Linked DNA regions of Cricetulus griseus. Each later gene encodes a partner of the first gene's protein in a complex. Links are inferred from orthologs where the notes say so. Each region holds a gene or a part of one and is shown on either strand. Other genes may lie near its edges. The genes, in order: Ddx46, Sf3b4, Sf3b2, Sf3a2, Sf3a1, Htatsf1 and Sf3b1.

Evidence for each region.
Region 2: Ddx46 (region 1) and Sf3b4 share a complex: the UniProt entries of both Homo sapiens proteins name them as parts of the 17S U2 SnRNP complex. The link is inferred for Cricetulus griseus from reciprocal best matches to the Homo sapiens genes DDX46 and SF3B4.
Region 3: Ddx46 (region 1) and Sf3b2 share a complex: the UniProt entries of both Homo sapiens proteins name them as parts of the 17S U2 SnRNP complex. The link is inferred for Cricetulus griseus from reciprocal best matches to the Homo sapiens genes DDX46 and SF3B2.
Region 4: Ddx46 (region 1) and Sf3a2 share a complex: the UniProt entries of both Homo sapiens proteins name them as parts of the 17S U2 SnRNP complex. The link is inferred for Cricetulus griseus from reciprocal best matches to the Homo sapiens genes DDX46 and SF3A2.
Region 5: Ddx46 (region 1) and Sf3a1 share a complex: the UniProt entries of both Homo sapiens proteins name them as parts of the 17S U2 SnRNP complex. The link is inferred for Cricetulus griseus from reciprocal best matches to the Homo sapiens genes DDX46 and SF3A1.
Region 6: Ddx46 (region 1) and Htatsf1 share a complex: the UniProt entries of both Homo sapiens proteins name them as parts of the 17S U2 SnRNP complex. The link is inferred for Cricetulus griseus from reciprocal best matches to the Homo sapiens genes DDX46 and HTATSF1.
Region 7: Ddx46 (region 1) and Sf3b1 share a complex: the UniProt entries of both Homo sapiens proteins name them as parts of the 17S U2 SnRNP complex. The link is inferred for Cricetulus griseus from reciprocal best matches to the Homo sapiens genes DDX46 and SF3B1.

What each region holds. Positions count from the first base shown.
Region 1 is NC_048596.1:274,635,438-274,638,937, reverse strand, and holds part of Ddx46 (probable ATP-dependent RNA helicase DDX46), read right to left. Parts: intron 2,119-3,500; coding exon 2,040-2,118; intron 444-2,039; coding exon 361-443; intron 1-360. UniProt on the Homo sapiens protein: Component of the 17S U2 SnRNP complex of the spliceosome, a large ribonucleoprotein complex that removes introns from transcribed pre-mRNAs.
Region 2 is NW_023276806.1:60,350,896-60,354,964, forward strand, and holds the start of Sf3b4 (splicing factor 3B subunit 4), read right to left. Parts: upstream 2,801-4,069; 5' UTR 2,677-2,800; coding exon 2,643-2,676; intron 2,258-2,642; coding exon 2,129-2,257; intron 1,882-2,128; coding exon 1,339-1,881; intron 1,092-1,338; coding exon 885-1,091; intron 1-884. UniProt on the Homo sapiens protein: Component of the 17S U2 SnRNP complex of the spliceosome, a large ribonucleoprotein complex that removes introns from transcribed pre-mRNAs.
Region 3 is NC_048596.1:54,019,700-54,023,886, reverse strand, and holds the start of Sf3b2 (splicing factor 3B subunit 2), read right to left. Parts: upstream 2,801-4,187; 5' UTR 2,767-2,800; coding exon 2,634-2,766; intron 2,463-2,633; coding exon 2,416-2,462; intron 1,973-2,415; coding exon 1,895-1,972; intron 665-1,894; coding exon 425-664; intron 1-424. UniProt on the Homo sapiens protein: Component of the 17S U2 SnRNP complex of the spliceosome, a large ribonucleoprotein complex that removes introns from transcribed pre-mRNAs.
Region 4 is NC_048598.1:101,580,085-101,584,350, forward strand, and holds the start of Sf3a2 (splicing factor 3A subunit 2), read left to right. Parts: upstream 1-1,466; 5' UTR 1,467-1,614; intron 1,615-3,975; 5' UTR 3,976-4,011; coding exon 4,012-4,137; intron 4,138-4,249; coding exon 4,250-4,266. Other genes in the region: Plekhj1 (pleckstrin homology domain-containing family J member 1), read right to left, coding at 688-754, 828-895, 979-1,072. UniProt on the Homo sapiens protein: Component of the 17S U2 SnRNP complex of the spliceosome, a large ribonucleoprotein complex that removes introns from transcribed pre-mRNAs.
Region 5 is NW_023276807.1:100,709,777-100,713,066, reverse strand, and holds the end of Sf3a1 (splicing factor 3A subunit 1), read left to right. Parts: intron 1-328; coding exon 329-430; intron 431-532; coding exon 533-604; intron 605-1,234; coding exon 1,235-1,336; 3' UTR 1,337-2,790; downstream 2,791-3,290. UniProt on the Homo sapiens protein: Component of the 17S U2 SnRNP complex of the spliceosome, a large ribonucleoprotein complex that removes introns from transcribed pre-mRNAs.
Region 6 is NC_048604.1:15,383,249-15,387,304, forward strand, and holds the start of Htatsf1 (HIV Tat-specific factor 1), read right to left. Parts: upstream 2,801-4,056; 5' UTR 2,658-2,800; intron 2,431-2,657; 5' UTR 2,375-2,430; coding exon 2,186-2,374; intron 583-2,185; coding exon 402-582; intron 41-401; coding exon 1-40. UniProt on the Homo sapiens protein: Component of the 17S U2 SnRNP complex of the spliceosome, a large ribonucleoprotein complex that removes introns from transcribed pre-mRNAs.
Region 7 is NC_048595.1:409,450,288-409,453,787, forward strand, and holds part of Sf3b1 (splicing factor 3B subunit 1), read right to left. Parts: intron 2,938-3,500; coding exon 2,725-2,937; intron 2,542-2,724; coding exon 2,420-2,541; intron 274-2,419; coding exon 76-273; intron 1-75. UniProt on the Homo sapiens protein: Component of the 17S U2 SnRNP complex of the spliceosome, a large ribonucleoprotein complex that removes introns from transcribed pre-mRNAs.

The DNA.
Region 1 (3,500 bases):
ATGTCAGTATTTATTTCATTTCCCTATGTTGCCAACACACTATAATACCAGGCAATACAAAATGAGTGTGAATTTCAAGACCACAAACATTTCATTCTCACTACAGTTACAAAATCCCCTTTATATTTCAAAAATTTAAGAACCTCAATGAGGGACTGGAGAGATGGCTCTTAGAGCAAACCCAAGTTCCAGGCAGCCACCCAGCACACACATGGAACAGCTCTCATTCACCTGTGATTCCAGCTCCAGGATGATATGATACTTCCAGCCTCTGCAGGCACCTGCATTCATGTGCACACACCACACACACAATTAAAAGTAAAATAAACCTTTAAAATTACAAAGAAATTTAATTATTACCTGTGGTTCAAAACCCATGTCAAACATTCTGTCTGCTTCATCTAAAACAACATACGTCACTCTTCGAAGATTTGTGACCCGACCTAAGGTAAGAAAAAAGAAAAACAAAACGAAAACTAACTACCAGTCACAATTCATTATGACAATCAAGAACTTTAAAAAACCATAAAGGGAACTAAAATGCCTGACTTAAGCAGAGGGGTAGGTTAGGTTTCTTACAACAGTGAAAAGAAACTTTGGTCTAAAAGTCTTAATCTAGTGGCAAGTTCTTTCTGACAGTGGGTACATGAGGCCCTTTATTTGGTCAAACTCGTCTCTTGCATACCATCATAGGGCCTGAAGAACCTGTAAAATTCAGAAAACAGCCCTCTCCAAAACACATCATAAAACTAAGACTGAGATGAAGCATCGAGCCACATCAGCCATTATCTGACAGCATCACCTAGAAAAAAACATATTAGAGATTACAGCGTATGTGTGGAAAGCAGGTTCCAGTGCTAACTACTTAGAGGCATAAAACCTCATTACTTTACAGCCTACTGCCATACGATTAGAAGCGCCTTAAGTGGGCATGCTAAAACATTAATAAACCGCTCAAAATCACTGGGTAACAATATCTTACACACTTTAAAAAATAAATGCATTACATACAAATATACTTTTCTATGCAAAGATACACATTAAATTATTAGTTGGGGCCACTGGTTTAATTAAGTAATCCTGGCTTCTTACCCAGCAAAAAACTAAAAATGCAGAAAGCCCTCTCAAAGACCAGTAAGTATTGCTATTACTTTGCAGAACCAACCACCTGGCAAAAATAGTCATTAAAAGACAAACGAAAAAGACAAATAAAGGAAAAGGTAAAATTAATCAAGATGAACTTCAGGAGATTTAATTAATACAACAGTGAGAAAAAGCAAGGGATTATACAGTCAGCATTCATCCCCAAAGCTTCATCTGCTACACAAGCGCAAGACCTCAACCCTCATGGAGAATTAAGTTTACCCCAAGCTCAGGCGGAACACTAGTAAGAACATGCACTTCTCGGATTCCAACACTCAATTACATACAGACTGAACGTTTCAATGGAAACCTCGAAAAAGCTGTTTCTTCAAAGACTAAACAGGTAGTGTTCACACTAACATCTCCAGTTGACAAGAGTCTCTCTCGAAAGGTTGGAAACAGCATTAAGTCACCTACCTTGGTCGGTTACCATCTCGGAAGCCCAGGTCTATAAATCCTCAAGGGCCTTTCTCCACAGAGGTTAAACAATGTCAACAGTTTAGTATCATTTTTGACAGGGAATATTTTAACAAAGCACAACATTTCGGCTAACAACATGCAGTATTTACAAAAGACACATTTCTTGAAGCTGCAATAACTTAATGTATCTACTAGTATAAAATACTAGCTCCCGTGGAGAATTTTATAATAAAAAGACTATAATGAAAAGTCAAGTTAAATGCTAGTAAGGTCTTACGGAGTTAGTTGTGAAAAGAAATTGAACTGCCAAAAACTTGTTAATACTTTCAACAATAAATGTGTTACCATTCACATTTTAAGATATTACAGCTTTAAGAAGAAACATAGAAACCCTTTGTTGGTTTCTCATATCTGCTTTAACAAAAAAGTGTCAAGCTCAAAAAGGAAAAGAAAACAAAAAAATACCTGTGACTTACCACTGTTAGCCGCTAACATGTCAATCATTCGACCAGGTGTGCAAACAATAATCTCAGCACCTCTTTTCAGCTCAGCGATCTAATGAAACAGGATAAGATTTTACAGGAGAGTCATCACTGCTTATGAGCAGATGTGAGCATCTGGCCATCCATGGTTCTACCAGGTAAGACAGAGTCTGAGTAGAAGACTGCAGGCTGGCACGTGACCCTTGGGCTGCTAGAGTTCTGAGGACGGGAAGCAGCAGGCAACACCCAGGCCAGACCTTAGAAACTAGTAAAACTAATGAATTTCACATATTTTAATTTGCAACTATTGCTAAAAGACCAAGACAGGAAGGTCAGAATAAGCAATAAAATATATACTCTTATTTAGGAACCCATGACATCGGTCTTCTAGGCCAAGGCCAGCAGATTTACAAATTGAACAGACAATGAAAGCACGCGCGCACACACACACACACACACACACACACACACACACGCGCGCGCGCGCGCGCGCGCTCATTCTCGTTCCTTTTGGCCTTTATATCATTTCATATATATGGGTGTTTGGCCTGCATGTGTGTCCATACATCACACACATACAATACCTGCAGAGGCCATTAGGGGGCACTGGCTCTTCAAGGAAATGGAGTTACAGTCATTGTGAGTTGGTTGCCCTGTGGGCACTGGGAATCAAATCCAAGACCTCCAGAGACAGTGCTCTTCACCACTGAACCATCTCTCCAGCCAAAGCAACTGCAAATTCTGGAATGTTGGCCTATATAGTTACAGGTACCAGCAAGAGTGAACTTTTCTGTGGCAAATATTCCACAAGACATACTGTTTCCCATATAAGTTTTAAGTATTTAACAAAATATAGGACTAGTGGTGTGTGCTGTGGTAAAAGTGCCTGCTGCCAGTTTGACAACTTAAGTTCAACACCCAGAGACAACTGACTCCTACACACCATCTTCTGACCGTATCACACGTGCTGTGGCATGTGCACATGGGCAACCACACAGAAGCAAGCTCAAACACATCAAAACACACACACACACACACACTAATTATAAACTAAAAATATATATATATATATAATAATAGTTTCTTTGCAGTAGAACGGAAGTCACACATAAACTTCTGATAATGCTTTAACTTTCTTTCTGTTTCTTCTATGAAAGAGCTGAAATGCTTCTCTAGACTCAAAGCTATGGTAACCCTGGTAACATCATCTTCACACACCCGTCTGGTGGGACTTAAAGTATCTGTGGCAAAAGCACACCCTACTCTCACTGCAAAGGCAGTGAGATTTTTTATAAGATTTTTTATTTTTGTTAGTGTTGCTTTCAAAATTTTATTTTTTGGGTTTTGGTTTTGTTTTTTTTGGGTTTTTTTTTTTTTTTTGGTTTTTCAAGATAGGGTTTCTCTGTGTAGTCCCAGCTGTTCTGGAACTCACTCTGCAGACCAGGCTGGCCTCAA
Region 2 (4,069 bases), on another chromosome or scaffold:
TGAACTTAGCTGCTACAAACAAGGGCTGTAGAAGGAGATGCTGGAAGGAGAAAAGTGAACTGTGGGTTGAGCAGCAGCCTTGTCTAGCCTGTCAAGAACCATGGACTAGAGACAGAAGGAATCAGTACCTGCACATTTAACACTACAAATAAACACTGGAAGAAGAACAAAGCACAAAATCTACACAGACAAAAAAGGGGGCTGACCCAGGTTGCTGAGGTTGATAAGTCACATAGAGGAAACAGTTTAATACATGCATAGCTCGTCATGTGTATAGTAGTGGTTAAGAAGCAGAAACAGGCCAGGCGTTGGTGGTGCACGCCTTTAATCCCAGCACTCGGGAGGCAAAGGCAGGAGGATCTCTGTGAGCTCGAGGCCAGCCTGGTCTACAGAGCCAGTGCCAGGATAGGCTCCAAAACTACACAGAGAAACCCTGTCTCGAAAAACAAAAACAAAAAGCAGAAACGGCTGCCCAGTGGTAGTGCCACCTTTAAACCCAGCACTTGGGAGACAGAGGCAGGCAGATCTCTGAGTTCAGGGCCAGCCTGGTCTACAGAATGAGTTGCAGGACAGTCAGGATCCTACACAGAGAGACCTTATCCCTAAAACAAAACAACAACAAAAAAAAATAAGCAAAAATGTCGCCTAGATCTGGCAACTGAGCTCCTTCCTGGGAATCAGAGGAGAGGCTGAGAGTAAAAACAGTAAGAACAGGCTATTCTGCAGAAAAAGGAAAAACCAGAGACAAGACGGGAGGGAGCTGAAGTACACACAGAAGTATTTTCTGAAGGAAAGGGAGACTCTAGACTATTTCCACCCAAGACAAAGAGCAGTGACAGAATCACTCTCACAAGCTCATCTCCGTTTCCCAGCAGACCACTTACCTGGATGGGGCATCCCACCTGGTGGGAATGGGTGAGGATGTGAGTGTCCGTGACCAGGATGCCCAGCTCCTGGAGTTCCTGCTGCTGGGGGGCCATGTCCTCCAGCCCCAGGTGGCATAGGTGGTGGGGGCATGGCTGGGGGTATCCCAGGAGGGAGGGCTCCAGGTGGCGGCACTGGAGGTGGGAAGGAGCCAGGAGGAGGCATGCCTATACAAGAAACGAGAGTCTATCTTGTGAAGAAAGAAAGACTGTCTTACAGAGCTCTAGCTTCCTTCCAGCACACTAAACTCCAGTCTCCCAAAGAAACCCAACATCTGCATCCCTTCCACCAGCACTCCTCATCCCTTTCTCGCTGCCCGCTGAGTTAACAGCTTACTCCCTCAGGGTTTCTTCTGCCTTCTGACCCTCCCTCCCAAGGGCCTCTCACTGGTGTAGTTTGAACTAAAAGCTTTACCTGGTGGAGGAAGCCCAGAACCCAGGGATGAAACCACAGGATTGGGGGCAGAGGGTGGAGGGGGTGCATCTGCGAACAGCTGGTGAGGACGGTCAGCCTGGGACAGCGGGTTCTGGGCTGCCAGAAGTCGTTCAGCTGCTGAGCCATGGCGCTCGCCTTTAGAGTCCTTCTTGAAGGCGTAAGACACAGTGATGGGTCTGTTACACAGGTACTGCCCATTCATGGCCTCAATTGCTGCATCCGAAGCATCAAAGGAGGCAAAATTAATGAAGGCATAACCCTTAGAGTTGCCTGTGTCAGGGTCCCGCATAATCTTGGGGGTTTGTAAGATGACCCCAAAGGCGCTGAAAGTATCATAAAGCAGCTTCTCATCGATTTCTGGGTCCAGGTTCCCAATGAAAATGTTGGCCCCTACATCCAGGTTTTTGTTGTGAGCTGAAGCCTTGTTCACCCGTATGGGCTTCCCATAGAGTTTGATCATGTTCATAATTTTAATAGCATAGTCAGCATCTTCCTCACTCAAGAATTCAACGAAGCCATAGCCTGGGGAATTGAAGAAAAGACTACTCAGATGAAGAGATTCAAAACGACACACTAACTCACCAGCCTCCAAACAAAGAACAAGTTGGAAGAATCCCAACTTCAAACTAAAGCTAAGAGACTACTCCTGAAACAAACTGCCAACTGAAGCTTAGAGAAAGAAACCATTCCAAAATAGCTGTGACTAGTGTTGAGATGCTTCAGGGGCCGCTAACCCAAAGTAAAGTCATTTCTTGCCGTAAATACTCACCTTGGTGCTGGCCAGTGACTCTATCCTTTGGCATGTGGGTGTTGACCACCGGCCCTGCCTGGAGAAAGAGCTCCCACAGCAGTGGTTCGCTCACTTTCTCGTCTAGACCGCCCACGTACACCGTGGCATCTAAAGCAAGAAAGCAGAAGGTAAGGACGAGGTCACGAGTTAAAAGGAAAACAGAAATTTAAAAAAAAAGTAACTAAAACCCTGAGATCACCCTTTGCCTGCCTAGTATAAAAAAACCCGCTCAAGTCTAATGTGGCGTTCTTGCGGATTGTGTACTTCCCGGTGGAGTTTCAATGATGCGCTTGGTAGCAGCGGGAGTGCCTACGGGAACCGGATCCAGAGGCATCACCCTCACAGGCCTCGGCCTCAACCCGGCCCCCAGGCCCAGCCCCCAGACGCGGGCCTTCCCGGGGAAACCTAGTTTCCCACGCTGGCGCTAACGCTTCTAGCACTCATCTGCCCTCCACCTCCCTGGGCCCACCTTGGGCTCTTCTCCCCCAATTACCCTGATTCCGTTCGGAGATGGGCCCGGCAGCCATGGCGAAGAGGCTCCCGCCGTCTCTAAGCGGCAGCACCGCCCTCTGACCTGTTACGACTTCCACTTCCGGGCCAAGGCTCCCATTGGGCGGGGCGGGCGGCAGGGGAGGAGCCGGAAGTGGCCGCGGCCATCTTAGGCGTCTGACGCGTGTCTGGAAAGACGCTGTGGTGGAGCTCTCACGACGCCCGGCTGGCGCCGAGGCGCTCAGGCCCCTCTTGACGACGCGGCTCTCGCCTGTCAGGCAGTCCCGCTGCTCCCCAGCCCAAATTTAAGCCCTAATCTCAGCCTTGTATGTTCTGTGACGCAGAGAAGCGTGCTGGGGGGAGGGAGGGGCGGGCCGGCTGCCTCGGGACGCAGCCTGTTACCTCAGTGCAGACGGAAGTGTCTGAGCCCCACTATTCGTGGGGTCATCTGAGGCACGGTGCCGCGTGTGTTCACGGTCAGTCTCAGCCTCGGGAGCACTCGGCAGCACCGTGCATCCCTCCCCTCCCACAGAAGAGACACTCAGAGAGCCTTCCTCCCGGGCCAGGACAGCCAGGGCTACACAGAGAAACCCTGTCTCAAAAAAAAAAAAAAAAAAAAAAAAAGGGGTTGGTGCTTCTTTCTCCAAATTTCGTCGGAATAGCCCCTCCTGTTTTGGGTCCTTAACTTCTTTTTTATCTATTTGTTTTGTTTCTCGAGACAGGGTTTCCCTGTGGCTTTGGAGGCTGTCCTGGAACTCGCTCTTGTAGACCAGGCTGGCCTCGAACTGGGTCCTTAATTTCTGTATCAATAATCTGGGTGCTTTTCTCTCAGTGCATACCCTCCCCCAACCACTTTACCGAGATCTTCATTCAACACAAGAAACAATACCAGCAATGTGTAGAAATACTGTGCTTTAATGAAGTCCTTAAATAGAAATACCACTACAAAAATATACAGTGGGAGGACAGGGTGTCTCCCTTATTTCCCTCATTCCCACAGAAGACTAAGAAACTGGATTTCAAAGCAGTGTGAGGGGTTGAGAATGAAGTCTCTGGGGCATCTTGTTGGAACTGATGAAGTGTCTCTGATCTCACAGTTTTGACAGTTTGTCATCTAAACGGCATGGAATTGCCAGAGAAAAAAAGGAAACGTTCTGAAGTGGTTTTGTTTCTTATTCCAGAGAAACAAAAATAGCTGGAGGTTGGTAGCTCCATGTCTGCTACAGAAACTCACTCACGGAGTGAGCTCCTTTATGGGCTGGAATGTGAAAGCTTGAAACACTGAGGTCAGATACAAAGAAACATGAGCAGAACTCCCTCCACATTCCCTCTGCCCTGCCTTCGAGAATGCTAGCAGTCTCAACGGATCTGAGAGAGGATGGTATTTGGATCTCTCTTCTTGCAGTGATCCTCAGGAGATATTCTTGGTGT
Region 3 (4,187 bases), about 220 Mb from region 1:
CCTTTAATCCCAGCACTCGGGAGGCAGAGGCAGGCGGATCTCTGTGAGTTCGAGGCCAGCCTGGTCTCCGGAGCAAGTGACAATAGGCTCCAAAGCTACACAGAGAAACCCTGTCTCAAAAAAAAAAAAAAAAAAACATAAAAGTTAGGGAGAGAAATATTACCCTCTTCTGCTGCTCTAAGAGCTATGTTCCTTCAATGAATGATTTCCTTGCTTAAAAAAAAAAAAACTCATGCCAGCAACAATACAACCAGGCCAATCTGCCAAAATTCTTGCTTCTAGGATTCTCTGCCAGCTGTTACCTAGGTCTTGGTCTTCAACCAAGACCTTCCTAAAAGGCACAGCCTCCGGGTCTAGCTTTCTGGGGTTCCATTTCCCCATCAGGGACCTAAGGTGACCTAGGTAAGGTTTCCACCTGTCCTACCTGTTTGGCACGTTCCTCTTGCTGCATCAGCAAAGCTGCCTGCTGTTGTGCCAGCTTCAGCCGTTCCTCTTCTGATAATGCCACAGGCTCACCGACTCGGAGAGGAGGTGGGGGACCCAAATTTGGTGGGTGAGCCATAGGAAAGCCAAGGCCAAGGCCTGGTGGAGGTGGTGGAGGTGGAGGAGGAGGTTGTAGAGGGGGGAGTCCCATAGGTGGTGGCGGCATAGGAATCCCAGACAGCTGTGGAAAAAAATATATAGCTATGAACTAGAAAGCATTTATTCACTTTAGAAGCATTTTCTAGCTAAAGTTCTAAAGGGAACTAGCAAAAGAGCCAGGCATTCAAAGTCTAGTGATGCAGAACTCAAGAAAATGCACCATAGCAGAATCAAGAGAAGAAAAGGCTAACTTTAGAACACTGATCAAACAAAGCTATTGGGTCCTCTGAAATTGCATTCAATTTAAGAAAATACAAGAACACCTCTAAAGTCTATACAGGCACTTAACAAAACACAAACACACACACACACACACACACACACACACACACACACACACACACACACACACACACACACACACACACACACCCCACCCACCCAGGCCAAAGCCACTAGTTTAGAGGAAGACACTCAAATACTGGATTCCAAAGGAACTTAAACAAATAGGAACCAGTACTGGAGAGACTGGACCAGCAGTTAAGAACTGCTCTTGAATCACAGGGTTCAATTCCCAGCATCCAGATAACAGCTCACAATCCTCTGTAACTCCAGCCCCAGGGTGATCCAAGCCCCTTTATGGCCTCCTGTAATGCTGCATGCACATGGTGTACAGACATGCACGCAGGCAAAACACTCATATGCATAAATATGTGTATATATTCACATACACACATATATACACACACACATATACACACACACACAGATACTATTTTTGAGATACAATTTCTCTGTGTTCTGGCTGTCCTGGAACTCACTCAGTAGACCAAGGTGGCCTCAAACTCAGAGATTCACCTGCCTCTGCCTCCCAAGTGCTGGGATTAAAGGTGTTCACCACCACTAAACTTTAAATATGTTTTTTTAAAGAAATAGAAACCAATGTGCCAGGGCACAGACTGTCAATGAATTACTAAATGCAGGAGGTATATAATAAAAAAATCACAGCATTACCCCTTAAAGTGTCAATGAATAACTTTGGGAGCTATGCCTGATAACAAAACACATGACTACATCCAACTGGGAGAGAACCAAGTATGAATTCTAGGTATTCAAGTTGACTCTTGAATGACAGGTCAAATTTAGAAGAGCAGACATTGCGGACTGATGAATACCGGCACAAAGCCAGAAGTGAAAAGGCCCCAATTCTGTCTCATCAGACCCCACCCTTAATTCACTATATTCTTATCTCCAGTGCAATGCATGGGAGAAAGGTTATCCTGAACAGAATGACCGATAAACAGTCTCTTACCTGTGCTGACATAGGAGGAGGAGCAGCTTTGTCCCCATCTTCTCCCCTTAAAACAGGTCGATTCAGCACAATGCCCGTCTACAAAAGAAAAGAGAACTGTGTGTCAGACTAAGAGGGAACTATTCCATTGCACGGCCTCCTCCACCATTTATTTAACAAAGTGCACCCGATGCCCGTTTGCCAGAGATTGGGGCTGTAACCTTTACAATAAAGCAAAGGCAAAAACTGACAAAACGGTCAAGACCCGACTTGCCGCGATGAAGTACGTAAGAAACGAAGACCCAGCCGGGCGTGGAGGCGCACACCTTTAATCCCAGAGCACTCGGCAGGCAGAAGCAGCCTGATCTCTTGAGTTCCAGGCCACCCTGGTTTACTGAGAGAGAGTTCTAGGACAACCAGGTGTACACAGTAAAACCCCGCCTAAAAGCTTTTTAAAAAAATGTAAAAGAAACGAAGACCGATCCGTGGCCTATCTTAAAGGCCTCTAGGAAAAGTAATCTTCAACTCCTGCCACAACTCACCTGGCGGGTGTAGGTCTGCAGCCGCTCAACCAGCTCCTCGCGACTCCCTGCGGAACCAAGCACAGAATCCGGGGTCAGCACCAGCCGGAACAGCCCGGCTTGGCCAGGTCGGGCCCCAGAGGCCTGTCTCCGCCCCCCGCCCGTGAGTCTCCTGGGTAACCAGGTCCCACTGCCCCGCAAGCCCACGCAGCCCCCTTTGACCGCCCCGGGAGCCTCACCCTGGATCGGAGCTCCTATTTCCGCCAGTTTGGCCTGAAGCTCCTGAGCAGCCCAGGCGCCATAGTGGCCTGGAGGTGGCGGCGGCGGCAACTGCAATTCTCCTTTGGGAGGCTCTGGATGCTCCGCCGCCATCTTAGCCACAAGAAGGCGCGCGACCAACACGGAAGCTCGGATCAGCCACCGGGCCTACTTCCCGGAACTTCCGGCAGAGCACTCCGCCACGTCCCGCGGTGATTGGAAAGCACTTGATTCAGACACCCACTCACTGCCTTTCGCTGGGAGATAGGATTCGCCGCTAACAAAGGCTGCACGGCCTTCTGGGAGTTGTAGTCTACGGTTGCACCGCCTAGAGGCTGGACGCTTGTTTTAACATCCCGTACCCTGTGGTAGATCCGCCGCTAGGGCCCTGAGAAGACCCGGCCCTCCACCCATTGGTTCCTTTCTTCTTCTCCTCACCTGCCCAAACGCATACTAAGTCTTCTGACCCGACACTCTCGGTGATGAGGTACCTGGATGCTTATTCCACCCAGGAGCTCATAGAGACTGCTTTCCGGCGCCCGCCAAGTGGGAGGTTGGAGCCGATGCCTCTGATAAAACAGTGTCCGATTGTTTGCCTGCTCGCTCCCGGCCCAGGCGTGCTTGAATGGGCTGAAAGGGGATCGGAGCCCGTAGAGGAACGGACCCGCCGGGCTGAGTTCCAGCTGCTGACTTGGGGGAAGGGCGATACCAAAATCCCTTTTCCACATTCGAGAAAGGCTTAAGAAAATGCCTTCTCTGCCAAATGTTTCCTCTCCTTTCTAGGAGCTTTCATACCACACCCAACTTTCCACCTTTTGTTTTCAAAACGAAATGTGCACCACTTGCATGCCTGATGTCTGTGGAGGCCAGAAGAGTGTCTCCTGGAACTAGAGTTACAGACGGTTGCAGGTCCTCTGCAAAAGCAACAAGTGCTCTTAACGCCATCTCTCCAGTCCCAAGGTTTTCGTTGTTTAAGTAAGTGTATTACAAATGTGAGCCAATCTATTGCCCCTTTTTGTTTTTTTTGTTTTTTTTTCGAGGCAGGGTTTCTCTGTGCAACAGTCCTGTCTGTCCTGGAACTCGCTCTGTAGACCAGACTGACCTTGAACTCACTTGAGATCCGCCTGCCTCTGCCTTCCAAGAGCTGGGATCAAAGGCATGTGCCACCCGCGCCCAGCTGTCCTGTTTCATTTTTAAGTCTTTCGTACCCTTTATTCCTACCTCCATTCCCAAAACAGGAGCAAGAACTTGATCTTTTTCTATCATGAAGCATCTAGCATCCAGGAGCCACCTAATAAATGATTGTGTGGGGGGGATCTATCCCTGGGATTTTATCTTCTTATAGGAAGAAAACACTCAGACTCTTTTCTTGGGTGGAGACCCCATGACCCTTGCCTGCCAAGCATCCACCCATTCATTTTGTCTCCTCACTTCTCCCTTCTAGTTCTTCCTCCACTCTCGATGCAGCCTGTTTGTTCTTGTGTGTGATGAATAAGGGAGACGAACACAAATGGTCTCATTTCTCACCCACACAC
Region 4 (4,266 bases), on another chromosome or scaffold:
GGACCGGGGAGAAGCCCCAGCTCCTATGTCACAGCAGGTGGCTGTCATTTCAGTGCTGAGGAAACAGACAGTTGGATCTCAGGGCTTGCTGCCAAGCGTGATGACCAGAGTTCAATGCTGGGAACCCACACAGTGGAAGGTGAGAACCAACTACCCAAAGTTGTCCTCTGATCTTAGGGGCATGCTCGATCACACACAAATACACGTATGTGTACATATTGATGTATTGTTTTAAGGGAGAGGTGAAGACATCAGAAATTGACATCTGGCCTCAATATACACGTGCAAGAAGCAGAAATTAAGGGTAGTGATGGAGAACCCCGTGATGATGGAGGAAGACATGAGGGCCAAATGTCTACAGGACGGTACTGTAAAGATCACCAAGGAAGAAGGCTGAATCAGATGTCACTTCAAAACCTCAGAAGCCCTGCCGGCGGGAGGAACTGTTTATGCCACACCAACAAAGTCTGCGCAGGCTGCTCATATCCCTGCCGTGAACAGGTACTGAAGGCGGGGAAGAAACTATGGTCGCACCAGCGGGGACCAGACCCGGGGGCAATTTGACAGCTGATGCAGCGCTGGGCCCCGGAAACTCGGGATCCAGGACAAACGGAGGTTGGGGCGGGGGTGGGGAGGGGTGTGCGGAGCAGAGTCCGGAGTGGGGACTGTGGGGACCGGCGCACTTACTGATGGAGAAGCCGCCGGGCTCTTCCTGGGCCACTCTGCAGCGCTCCAGCAACAGGGCTCCGAGGGGCTGCGCGAGACACGGCCATGAGCGCCGGCCGGCTCCGGGCCGCGCGGGCCCCCCGAGCCCCCCACGCCCCTACCTCGGCCTCGTCCGGGCGGAAGTAGAAGAGGAAGTTGACGACCAGCTTCACCAGCCGCCTCTTGGCCACTGCGGACACGGGGCGGTGTCAGCGGGAACTGTCCTCCTCCGCCCCCCGGGGAGGTGCCCAGCCGCGGCCCCGGCTCGCTCACCGCTGCCCTTCTTGGGGCCCCGCATGCCCAGCTCGGCCGCCATCTCCGCCGGCTGACGGGACAGCGCCTGCAACTCCTTCTCGTTGTACCGCATCACGCCGTGGGGACCCGCGCGAACCGGAGGGCGCCCTGCCTCTCGGCCGCCGTCCGCTCGGAAGGTGCGCTCAGCACCACAAAAGTCTCAGGGAACATTCCCGGAAGTCCCAGCAGAGCTACTGCGCCTGCGCGCCGGGGCGCTAGCGTGTCTGCGGGCGCAGTTGCTCGCAGAGTCAGAAAGGAAGGAAGTCGCCCGTCCTAGGTAACTGTCAAACACACTAAACGTGAGGTATCAAGCTAGATCCGTAGCACCCCCTGTCAAGCGAAGCGCGTTCCGAGGCTGCTGAGACATAACGATTTCGTCCTGTCGCGATACTCAGCGAGAGTTCGTGAATAACTCAGTGCGCGTGCGCACTTCGGACTCCGGCGCTCCTTTCACTCGCGCCTCTTTAAACCGAGTCCATCTTCTGGGCATGCGCACAACCGAAACTCCGCCTTATTTTCCCCCGGAAGTGACTGCTTAGTCCGGCCTGCGCGTGCGCACAGCGAAATCGTGGGCCTCGCGGACGTTACGCCTGGGCTGCGCGGCCTTTGGCGCCGGTGAGGTGTTACTCGGCTTGTTGGTGGAAGCTACCCCGGCTTTGGTGTCTCGGAAGGGGGTCGGAAGCAGCAGCGAGGGCGCGGGGCTGGACGGAAGGGCCGGCCGGCGGGCGGCGCGGCGGCGCTCGCGCGGCCCAGTGGCCGCGGCGGCATCGCGGGCTTCCGTGGCGCGTCTGCGGCCCCCAGCGTGCCCCGGTTCCTGAGGGTCTTTTGAGCTCCTTGATTGCCTCAGCTTTCCTCGTCGTTAGTCAGGGCCCTGGCGACTGCTGCTGCCGCCCACCCGAGCCGGTCCTTTGCTGGGACTGGAAGATAACGGTATTTCCATCCCAGGCCGTCTCCTTCTCAGACAGCACTTCGTTTCCCTGTCTCGTTTGTCGGTGATCTTATGGTGGTCCGTGAGGTAGCTCGTCTCCATCCATCCGTTCTCCCTCCTGCCCCACGCCTCACTTGTGAGCGCATCCAGGCGTTGGCAGAACTTCTATTTCAGACAGTGTCTCCCTGCCCAATTCTGGCCGACCAGGAACTCTTACCTCACACACATCGCGGTGCCTCTGCCTCCGGACGACTGGGATTAACAGCATATGCCGCCGCACCTGGCTGTTTAATTTGGAAGGGTTTATTACCGCTGACAGTAGGAGTGCAATTCAGTTTGGTGGGGAAGTTTTGTCCCAGGAGCTTGAGGCAGCTGTAGTCAGGAAGCAGAAAGATAAGTGCTGGTGTTCGCATTGCTTTCCCCGTGTTTCTTTTTCCGGGACTATCTTTTCTTCGTGTGTATGTGTGTCTGTGCATGTGAATGAGTCCAGATCCACTGGAGCTTGAGTTTCGGGTGGTTGTCAGTTGCCCAGTTTGAGTGCTAGAAACTGAACTTGGATCCTCTGGAAGGACACCAAATGCTTTTAAGACAAGATTTTACTGTGCAGCCCAGGCTGGCCTCCAACTCGGGTGTCTTCCTACCTTGGCCTCCCAAGACAAGAGCTGATGTGAAAGGTGTTTGCCACCATGCCCACCACAATTGCTAGTGTTTCCCGAGGTTGAAAATGTCACAGGCTGGGAAAGGTAGCTCAGTGGTGAGATTTTGCAAGACTCTGCTCCTACCCCAGAACCAAGGCGCATGCTCACCCAAGCTAGTTTTGTCCTGGGTTTTCTTGTTTTTTTTTTTTTTTTAGCCTCTCCAAAACAGATGAATTGCATTTTTCATTTAGTGGGTGCCCACACCCCTACACGTGAAAGCAAGACTCTAGGGGCCTTGAGTTGTACCCTCAAGCCTGTGGCTGGCTGGACACCAGAAGTCAGAGTAGGTTTTCATGCTGTCACTGCTCCAGGTACCCTCTTGTTCTGGGAAGCCTGCGGCCAGCCTTGGACTCTGCTCTTGCATCTGGCCAACTTCATCTGTGGGTCTGTGTCTCCTGGTAGCTTTCGAAGGTATAGGCAGTGCTTTTCTTTTTCAGTCCTGTGTGGCTGAGCATGAAACAGACCAGACAGGCTGGTCCTGCCCACAGACAGCTTCAGTACACATGAATGCTCTCAGCCATCCCAGCGTCTTAAGGCCCATGTGTCCCTTGGCTTTTGCCCCTTCCTCCTCCAGAGTCAACAGCCAGCGACCTCACTGTGTCTCTGCCCTGAGTCCTTCTGACTCCATGGTGACACTACCTGGCCCTCGGAGTTTTTGATATCATTTTCAAAATTCCTTTTGCTGTATGAGGCTCCAACAATGATGACAAGGACTGCCCTCCACTTGTCTCCTGGACATGTCCCTGAGTTTACCTCTGGGTTTAAACCAAGGCCCTGGGGCAGACAATGAGCAGTCTAAAGTGTTCTTCCTAGTGGACAACATTCAGGACTTGGAAGACTAGGAAAAAACATAATCCTTGTGTGTCAGATGGGTGTGTGAGGTCTTTTAATCCCAACACTTGATGGATCTCTGAGGACAGCCAGGTCTACTTAAAGAGACCCCCCCCCCCATCTTAATATGACACAGCAGGCAAAGGTGGCTCATACCTGCAGTCACTTGGGAGGATCAGGAGTTTAAAGGACAACCCAGGCTACATGAGACTCTGCCTGTCCCCCACCTACCTCATAACCAAAGACAGATATAATGGCACACCCCTGTAATTTCAGTGCTTACGGGGACCAGGAGTTAAACTAGCCTGAGCTACACAGTGAGTTTACAGCTAGCTTTGGTTACGTGAGACTTGAAAAAAATGACACTAGCCTAGGGTCTTGGGCTGGTTGCTTCTCCACCAATCCACATTCACTCTAAGGGTAAGGTGGAATCCAATCTGGAACATAGAAGGCAAGGGAAGGCCTGCTTGCTGCATGAATGTGTGCTGTTCTGAATCTGTTGCCCTTTTGTTCCTCCAGGTTTCTGTGTGTCCCTGAAGCTTCCAGGCCTTCACCATGGACTTCCAGCACAGACCTGGAGGCAAGACTGGGAGTGGGGGCGTGGCCTCCTCCTCTGAGAGCAACCGGGACCGCAGGGAACGCCTGCGACAGCTGGCCTTAGAAACCATTGACATCAACAAGGTGGGGGGGTACCTACAGTAGGGGTGTGGAGGGAGCAGTGTCCCCACACCTACAGACCCAGGTTCATGGGGCCAGGCTCTGCGATCTAATGGGTACATATGTTCCCTCCAAGGACCCATATTTCATGAA
Region 5 (3,290 bases), on another chromosome or scaffold:
TTTCACCTTAGTTCCATATTAACTGTAAAGCAAGACAGGTATATTTAAGGAAGGGAAAGGGGGAAAGGAAACTGAGCATAGTAATATATACTTAAAATCTCAGCACTCTAGAGGCAGAACGATTAAGACCAGCCTGGGCTACATATGAAACCCTGTCTAAAAACTAAAAAAAGAAAAAAGAAAGCCTTACATGGTGTGTCACAAGTAGCATCAATAGTAAATGGGCCAGAGGGACAGTAGTCATTGTTTGGATGGGCCCACTATTAGTAGAGCGTAGTTTCTGGTTGGCTTGGAGTTCTCCAAGCATAATGTGCACTCCATTTTGCAGGGTCCAGTGTCCATCAAAGTGCAGGTACCCAACATGCAGGATAAGACAGAATGGAAGCTGAATGGGCAAGGGCTGGTCTTCACTCTGCCACTCACAGACCAGGTATGTGTTGCCACCCCCAATTGTTACAGGTGCTTAGCCAATGGGTTGTTTTTTCCAGCTGGTCTTAGCAAGGGAATGAATGACCTTTCTTTGGTCCCACAGGTCTCTGTCATCAAAGTGAAGATTCATGAAGCCACAGGCATGCCTGCAGGGAAACAGAAACTACAGTATGAAGTAAGCCAGGGTAACCCCAGTCCTGTCCATTAGGTTCCAACACCTCTGTCATCCCAGAAACAATCTTCTGTTACAAAGTAGGATAGAGAGAGACCTGGATGTGGCCATCTGAGTCCATCCTAGAAATAATACAGGTGGGATACTGGGGCAGGTGAACCTGACAGTGCAGGATTCTGACAGCATAGTCTAATGCAGGGTCTAAAAACCTTTTAGAGCTGGATGGGGACCAGCCCAGTGATGTGATCTTAGCCTGGCCCTCTCTGCAAAGGGGGTCTTCCAGGTCTTCTGGTGCCTCATCTCTTCTGTAAAATGAGGGTGTTGAATTAGGTAATCACTAAAAGTCCTATGACCTGAGAAGTTGGCTGTTTCTTGGAGTCGGTCATGGGTAGCATCTTGGGAGTTGAAAATTGAACCAGGTGTTGACTAAAGGTCCCTTATGTTTGTCAATATCAGTTAGAAGGAAAAAGTGTTCTAGAAGAAGCCAAAGTTCCATAATCCACTGACCTGACCTTCCCTTTAGCATCCATATTGGTGAAGTCTAGAATATTAACAGCTAAGCTCAGTTGTGTGAGGCTGCATTGATGTGGTCAAAGACAGGTGCCATACCTAAGACGTTTGTTTGTATTCCAGGGCATTTTCATCAAGGATTCCAACTCCCTGGCTTACTACAACATGGCCAGTGGTGCTGTCATCCACTTGGCCCTCAAGGAGAGAGGCGGCAGGAAGAAGTAGTGAAGAGATACCTACAGTTGGGCTCCTGCATTGGACCTCTTCTTTTACCACCACTTCCAGGAGCTTTTCTGGGACCTCAGGCACAGCCCGTGTATTTGTTTCCCTCTTAATCAGTTTCGAAATTCACCTTGTCATTTAGGAGAGGTGTTGCCCATTATCTAACCTGACATGGGTAAGAATAGCAGAGCTTTCTAAGCCAGTCTGTGGAATGATTTCTTGTTAGGTTCTGAATTTGAGATCCTTCAGGAAGCCCATTAGGAATTCAAAACTCAGTGTTTCCTACAGGATAGTTTCATAATACCGAGTGATGTTTGGCGGATAGAATATGGTTACTGTCATCATTTTATATCATGCTTTGGTTTCTAATCTCTTGAAGCCAAGCATGGTACATGCATGCTTGTAATCCTGGGACTTGGGAGGTTTAGGCAGGAGAATTAGATGTTCAGAGTTACCCTCAACTGTACAGCTTGAGGCCCACCTGGGCTGTGGGAGATACTGTGTTAAAAAATATTTTTAAAAATTAAAAACAAAACACCTCTTGGACCCTCATAGAAACAGTTTATTAAGATCTGACTCTTGGCCAAGTGTGCCTACCACCTAGTACTGTGGAGCTCTTGGGGTCTCAGTAGTTATGGTCTCTGTATATAAATTTTTGCTGCCGTCATTAGTCTTTCTTCTGAAAATCATCATGGGCTGGGGAGGTGGCTTGATGAATAAAGTGCTTATGGTGCAAGAATCCATTGTAAAAGCCACTAGCACAAACTGCTGTAACCCTTGTGCACTGGGAGATCGAAGACTAAGCCAGAATCATCTGGAGCAGGCCCGTGAACACTAGACCGTCTCTAAAGCTAGATGGAAGGCAAGGCCTGACATCCATGAATGTCTTCTGGTCTCATATGTGCCATGACACACCTCTACAAGAAACACACATTTTATATTTGTGAAACATTGGGACCCTCCAACATGCAGTATCCCACAGAACAAGGACCACCACAATAGCAGTTTTCTTCAAATCTAGAATCACCCATGAACTGATTGGCATAGTGGTTTTAGGTTAGGTGCTTCATTCAGTGTGATCAAAGGGTATTGTTTATGATGTGTGTTATTAATTATGCCAAGTCTATGTGCTTATCTAAGGGCCTCAAATTTAGTTTACTACCTAACGTGTTTTGTTGTTAGGGTTTTGTTGTTGTTGTTCTTTTTTTATTTGTTTTATTTTGAGACAGCTGGCCTGGACTTGCTATATAGACCAGGTTGGCTTTGAATGTACAGAAATCAGCTTGCCACTGCCTCTCAAATACTGGGATTAAAGACATAAGTTGTCAGACCTGACACTGCTTCCTGTTCAAGCACTTGTGTGGTAGTCCTTATGTGATTTTTCTTGTTTGAGGTACCAGAGGCAAGTCACATTCCCACAATCACATGGTTCAAAGATGAAGAATATGTGCAAAACATTTGCCTTTTGGTCACTGAGTGAGGTCCTGATGTAGGTTATTATTTTTGGAATTCTGCTATTAGTGGCTTAGGTGCTGCTGTAAGTATTCAGAGGAAGGGAGATGAGAGCTTGTTGATTATGTAAACAAAGCTGGTTTTTTTAGGAGGATTACACATGCTCAGATCCCCTAAGAGTTCCCAGTACCTTTTCATTTGCAGTCCGTTGATGTGATGAGGAAAATGTTCTCAGGATCAAAGCAGTATTCTAGTCCTCACCCTAGCTCTCCACCTTTCCTCTTCCAACCTAAGCTTAGGCAGCTCCGAGGCAGGGCCAGAAACAGCTCCATCACACACTTCTCACAGTCAATCGTGTTGATGTAATGCCATTCTGCATCCTGTGTGACATTTGCCTTTCACATGGTTACCTGAAGTTTGCCTAGGGACTAGTGCAAAATTTGGCTTTCTGGTGGACTTTTCTGATTTAGGGGCCTGAAAGCAAGCTCACTGCTAGACACTAATT
Region 6 (4,056 bases), on another chromosome or scaffold:
TATACATTTGTATTTCTATCTTCTTCAACATGGAACCATCCTAAAAATCAAAATGAAATAAATAAAACACTTGCAAATAACAAGAATCACATTATGAAATCCTGGTAGTGGCAGCTTCTTAAAAACTTTTAGAATGTTCTCTTTATTTAAGAAAACTAAGTCTAACTCAAATCATTACCCAGCTTTCAAAAATACATAAACTTCTTGATTGAGAATGTTTTAGGGCTCTCTCTGAAAAAGAAAAAGGCTATCTCAATTCTTAATGACTTTACGCCTACATAAAAGTGAAAACTTACATTATGTTCCTTCAATGCTAGTATAATCCTCCAAAATGTAAAATGTATTTACACATTTTCCTATTTCTTTTTTACACCCAGGTTTTGCAAAACAGAACCACTTGCCTGATTCGGCCTTTCTCTTTTCTCCCCTCTTTTTGGAGTCAGTGGTTTCTGGGGTTTCTCTTTGTGGAGGTTCTTCTACTGTCTTTGGGTTGGGGTCCTGGACATTCACAGTAGAACTAGATGCACCATCACTAGAAAAGCCGTAATTAGCCTGATACGTAGCAATGAAATCTTCAGTGATCTAGATGGGTTAAGTCAGCACATATGCAGACATGGTTACTTCATGTGTTATACAACTGTACATTCAGTAATATAATCTAAGACTTTAACAAGTGTTTATGCCAAGGGTAGTTGTAATAATTAAAATATAATAGGAGAGCAGTCATCTTATATAGAAACTGTAACACGAAAAAAGTACGAAACTATGAAAAAGTGCTCAAACTACCAACAAAAAAGTATGAGAGAATTTTAAGTGATGCTAGCACCTTTTCTAGTTGTCTTATAAATTCTTGCTTCTCCACAGTATATCTGACTAAGGTGGCCGATACAGAGAACAAAAGAAGTATCAAATAATGATACAGAGTAAAACCAAAAGTCAACTAGAAATCTAATCACAGAATCCACTTTTGGATGCACAAAAATACGTATGTACACTAAGATTTTTATGTTTATGTATGAAGCTGGAAACTGCTAGAACACAAAATGCCCATTTGAGTTTGAGCACTAATTCAGAGAAACGCTTAGTGACAGAACAAAATCAAAGGCAAGCCTGATACACACCCATCGCCCTGGCTTTGCAGGGGAACCCACTATTGTAGAATGGCTGAATGGCTGAATGAGTTATGAGTTATGACTATCACTTTCAGGTACACAGAAAAGTGAAAATTTTACCCCCAAAGTTTGAAGAACCAGGGTTTTAAGTAACGTAAAAGATAAAGTTACCAAGTAATTGCCGTCGGACTATTAAAAGGGCTCAGAAGGTAGAAGAAATCACATCTACATTCAAGGTGGCATTACAAGTCCAGAAACGGGATAGCAAATTTCAACAATTTGGGGAGCTTGAGATATGGACAAATATAAAATAAGAAAGAATAGCTGAAATACTTTTTAAACTAACACTCGGTCTACACAATGGAGACAAGTTTTTTTGTGATTGGCTCCCAAGTCACTTGACGGGCTGTTCGTAACCTTTAATACTAATGCCCCTCCTAGGCTAAGACTAACAGCGTACTTTCTCCATACAGCTTACACTAGTTATTTCCACGTTGAAATTAAACACACAGCAATTTCCAAGTACTCAAAACGAATGTAGAGACCTTTTCCAACCATTTTCTGTGCTTTCCCAGTCATATTCCTGTGGTTACAAGAGTCAAACTTAGATGCCCTGGAACAAAATTCAGTAGAAAAATAAACCAAGACGCAAGGAAAGTTTATTCAATAGAGTGGGGTAAAAGCCTTCTTTCCCGCCCCCTAAATCAACAAGCTGCATTTTATCCACAGCATGGACACTAGACATCTCACAGGTTTGGCTATACAGGATAAAACGGTTACAAATGTGTTTTCCTTGGTGTTTTTCCTTTTGGCAATAAAAAGCAGTCATCAATATAACGCCTGTGACCTTCACAAAAATTAATAAGGCATAAAGAACATTTCAGGCACCACCATAAGGTTTTCTTTCCTTTATACATCGGATACTGGAACGGACGGAACAGACGAGCCATCAAGCAGCGGTTCAAGGACCTAGTACTTGAGAAGAGCAAACGTAAGAGGGGGTGTCCGGCAAGGGTGTCCAGGGGAGCCCACAGCCACGCTCCGCAGCGGCAGTCCAGCCACCCTTTTCTTACCTTGGGGAACCAAGCCTTCTTGTCAAGGTCCCACTCGTAGGGAGTGTCATCCTGCGGTTGTCCCCCCGCAGATTCCGTTTCTCCGGAGGCATCGTTCGGGGTGTCACCGTCCTTAGGGTCCCCGTACAATTCTTGCATTCGCAACTGTTCGTCAAACTCGTCGTTCGCGCTCAAGTTGTTGCCACTCATGTTTCTGAAGCGGGGCCGGGAGCAGCGTTCAGAGACGTGAAGAGGCCGACAGGGCGCTGGAGAAGTGAGAGAGCCGGAGGTCGGCAGAGCTCAGGTCGTGTGCGGTGCAGCCCCCTTGGCCCGCCTCCCCGCAACGCCCCAGCAGTCCCTGGGAAGGCTGAGCCGCGCCGCGCCGCGCCGCGCCGCCCAGGCTCCGCCCTCCCGGCCGGCCCACAGGCGCGCGCGCGCGCGCGCACTGGCGTTCCGAGGCCGCCGGCGGCGCAGTGGCCGCCACCCCACCTACCTGGCGGGCTCGGCGGGGCCTGGACGCCCCCGCTCGGGCCAGGGCGAAGCGGAAGCGCGCAGGCGCGCCGTCACCGCCACCGTCGGCTCCGGAGGCACCACAGCTCCCTCCCGCCTCAACAGGAAAGTCGCTTGAGAACGGAGTCCGCCTCAGGCCGATGCGGTCGCCATTGACCGCGCGTGGCGACGTAGCGGGTCGCGCTGACACGCCCACTCTTGCGTCAAATGGCCGCGACGCGGGGCGGGGGCGGGGCGGGGGCGGGGGGGGGGGGCGGGGGGGCGGGGCGGGGCTGCCAGGGAAGGCTGCCGCCGGAGTGTCCGTGCACCCGATGGGGACGCAAGCCTGCAGGAATCCATGACACCGCAGGGGCCTTGGGCCCGGCGGCGTCCTCTGCACTTTGGACGAGGCGACAGCCTCATTCTGACAGCAGTGCTGGCGCGGGCTGGGCTTTGCGGCAACCGCCATCTTGGGGAGGTGGGTGGGACCGTGGGGACAAGTTTCTCCCGCTTCGCGAAAGCCATGCGCCTCTTTTCACGCCAGATCCCGCCCCTGCGAAGGAACCAAGTATATCGTTTTGAATTTCTTGTCCTACACTACACGACACACGGCTTTTGCTCATCTCAGTAACCCAAACCAGTAACATGCTGTTTGGGATCTAGCGAAGAGTGAGTGAATAAGTGACTGAACATGGGCAGAAGGTCCCATCACCTCCTAAGCTCACCCCCTTTTTATGCATCTGGTAGCACCTTCCCTTCAGGTTGCAGTTGCTGAGGGTAGCAGTTGCCTGCATCATACTGCAAGGTACCAGAGGTGCTGAGGCCTGGAACTTGACGCTTGACTGTAAACATCCCCGTGTACAAATGCCAGCTGGACCATGTGGCTCGGTTTCTTGTCTCTTAGAAAGGCAACCAACTAACTGCCATAAGCAGAACTTTTCCCCAAAATACTTCATGTCTCTCTACACGACAAGGGGTCCATGTTTTAAAACAGGCAGGTTTATACTGCACTCCTATTAAGTGCCAGGCACTGGGGGAGGTTCTGGGACAGCAGTCGGGAAGACAGGCACAGATAAGGGAGACTCACTTATGATTTGGCGAACAATAAAATAGAAGTACCAGAAGCTGGAGAGCAGACATCATTTTGTTTTCAGCATCCTTTTATACTCAAAAACCTAGAAAATTCCAAAGTGTTTGTTTTAAATGTGGATTGCGGTTATCAACAATATTTGTTGCTGTAATCTTAACTATGCAAGTAAAATTTTAATTCATTAAAAGTAGCAATGAACTCTGTGTAAACATCCATATTATTACCCAGAGGTTACTTCAATTCCAGTCACCTTTGCTTGTAAATGCAATGGTTGGGTGGGTTCTAGAGCACCCTGGCTCCTCACAGACCTGTG
Region 7 (3,500 bases), on another chromosome or scaffold:
GTAAAGGTGGATCAAGACAGTGATTTGTAACTCCCAAACAAAGAATAATACTTTATTTCTGTTAGCATCACTTACCAATAGTTTATCAAAGTACTGAATGTCATCAGGTTTTAAAAATGGAAGATTCCCAGACGGCTGGTCATTGACACTTTTCATAGTTCTGTCTTCAGTTTGCATGTGGAAACCAGTCATGCCACCCAAAGGTGTGGGTGTTGCTGTCAGCTTTCGAGCTGGAGTTCGAATGGGAACATAACCAGCTGGAGGGGGAAGGACCTAAGAGAGTTATAACACACTTTAGCAGGACTGCTTTGGCTTTACACAATGAAAGACAACATAGTAGCATTTACACTTAAAGACATCTTTGTAATTTATTAGCTAGCAAGTTTATTTACCTGAAGAAAACATATGCCACAGTTCAAAGTTAATTAAAAGTTAAGAAGATATTTATGAGAAACACTTATCTCCTAATTTGTTAATTAAAATTTAAGTGGGAAAGAAATACATGGAGTACTTTAAAATTTCTAGTCACCTTCAACCATTAATATGCTTGAGATATCAATGTTATCAAGACAATATGTGAAATTAACAAAACTTGAAAATTATAAAACCTATGAGTCAGTGATTTCCCAAAAGGTACTTTTAGAGCAAACATCATTCATTTAAGTGGAAATAAACTTATATGGTTTATATAATAGATAAAAGTCATGCATGTTTTAGTAATAAAATGAAATATTCACATAAACCCCAAATACTATAAAAATGTATTTTAAAACTGAACTCTTACAAGACAAACTTAAATACAACAAAGTAAAACTAAAGTATTTGCCACAACCATCTGAAAGAAATGTCAAATTAAACCCATTGCAATACCCATAGAATATCTGGAAATATGAGTTTAAAACAATAGGATTTGGTTTTTTAAAGCAATGAGACAGACTCTTTTGCTAATTACACTTTCCTAGGTAAGACAATAAACTTAACACAGGTCTTCTCCAAATAGCCTTAATTACCATGTCTGGAAAATGTCAATGAGACTCACAATTAAATCATGTTAAATACATCTGATGCCACCTATACTTCATCACCCAACTAATTTTTTGCTTCTTGTTATTGCATGTGCAGTATGGACCTCTCACTAATCATTTTGAGTAAAGGAGAATTTATACACGGACTCTTACAGTATGTCAAATCCATTGGTGTCACTGTACATTGAAGACCTAAAGGTACATTTTAAGATTTTACTCATTAGGGTGCTGGAGAAATGGCTCAGCAGTTAAGAGCACTGGCTGCTCTGTGAGAGGTCCTAAATTCAATTTCCAGCAACCACATAGTGGCTCACTACCAGCTCTAGTGCCCTCTTCTGGCATAAAGTCATACATGCAGATAGAGCACTCACACATTAAAAAAGAAAATTCACCAGCATGTTATCTGAGTTCAGTCCTACAAAATCATGAACTGAATGAAACAAGCTACTCCATTCCACTGATTCAGAGGTTCTTAAAGCACTGTCTGTGGACCTCCAGAAGTCCTTGTGGTTCCTTACTTAAAAGTAATAAAAGCCAGGAGTGAGGCATACCACCTTTTAGACAGATCTCTGAATTTCAGGTCAGCCTGGCCTATATCTCAAGTTCAAAACTAGCCATGGTTATATAGTCAGTCTCAGGTACTAGAAAAAATGGTTTAGTGATTTAGAACATCTGCACCTCAAATCATGAGCACCAGAGTTCAGAAACCAGAACCCATGCTGGGCAACTCACAACCACCAATAGAGGAATTACGCTGGCTTCTGCAGACACCTGAACTCACATATAATTAAAAATAACTTTTTTTTAAAAGATTTTTTTTTTCAAATTGTGTGTATCTGTGTGCCTGAATTTAAGTTTGTACACTTGAGTACATACAGTGCCTGAGAAGGCCAACAGAAGGCACAGAATTCTCATGAGATTCACAGATGGTTGTGAGCCTCTTGATGTGGGTGCTGGGAACTGAACTATAGGCTTTTGTAAGAGCAGCACATGCTCCTAAGCATTGAGCCACTTCTCTAGCTCCCAAAATACTTGGGGGAGCGGCGATTAAGACAGAGTCTCTCTAAGACAGGGTCTCTTGGCTGTCCTGGAACTTGTTATGTGGACCAAAATGGCCTCAAACTCAGAGATCCACCTGTCTCTGGCTCCCATCACTTCAATTAAAAGCAGGCACCACCACAGCTAGGAAAATAATAAAAGCTGCATGCTACTCATTTCATGTCTATTACTTTTTCAACTGAAATGCATTTAGTAGTATCTTTAAAAAAAAAAAGAGGAATTAATTAGTAAATTTGGGCGAGGCCAAATTTGCTGGCATTTTTTTTTTTTAAGCCAAATGCTTAAAACTCATATCCTAAGTACCAACACATTCACCATATATTTATCACTAGTACCTTATATCCTTCTGGGAACATAGCATCTAATTCTTCATCAGAAAGTGGGCGATTTCGCTCATCAATTTCTCTCTCCCACCGCCAAGCCTGAAGCTGTTCAGGAGTCATGCTCATTATATGACCTACCAAAACAGCAAAATTTTACATGATCCACAGTGCAAGACTTTACTACTAAATATGCCCTAACCTGATTGTTTTTATATTAGAAATGCAAATCAAGGTATTTTTATGTTCTTACTCTTAATAATAGCACCCAGAAAAACCAGCAAAAAAATTAAAACAGTCACAAGAGAAAGAGTTTCTACCTGGAGTGGGGGTAGCCATGTTCATGGCTGGTGTGCCAATTGGTGTTTTTCCTGGAGTCAGAACAGGAGTGCTTCCACCCATCTGACTAGCTGGTGTTTCATCCCAACGGGACTTTCTTTTACTTGCTCCAGGAGTTGGTGTTTCACCAATGGAGTCTCCACCTCGATCTGTTCGAGGAGTCTCAGCCCATCCGCTCCCATGCCCAGGAGTATCTTCAAAGAAAAAGGACAGTAAGATCACACTATTAACCATTTTTAAAACACTGTTTCACCCACAGTCAATATTATTAAGTTCAAAAGGAAGATATTCCAAAAACAAGATATACTTAAAAGTTTTGTTTAGTGTCTTTGGGTTTCCTTTCCACTGACCACAGCAACTAATGAGAAACAAACCAAAAGAAAAAAACTTTGTTTTTCCATCCACATGATCACAGAGTGGAACTTAAGATACACACTGTGTATCTTAAGCCATGTTCCAGCTATTCTCACTATACATCAAACTCTAGATTTAGGCAAACTTCTGACACAGAACATAAATATAGGCTAGCAAGGAGCCAAAGGTGGTACAGAAAGAAGTGTTGTTTAAAAGATGCAGTTTCTGTTTGGGTCAGGTCACTGAAAAAAGATATAGAAATGAATTATAATCATAGTGTACAATGTACAACACTGTGAATGTTTAAAGTCACTAAATTCTGTCCTTAAATGATTAAAATTGGTATGCTAAAACACACACAGGAGGTTGAGGCAAGACAATCAATCACCAGTTGAGGGCTAGT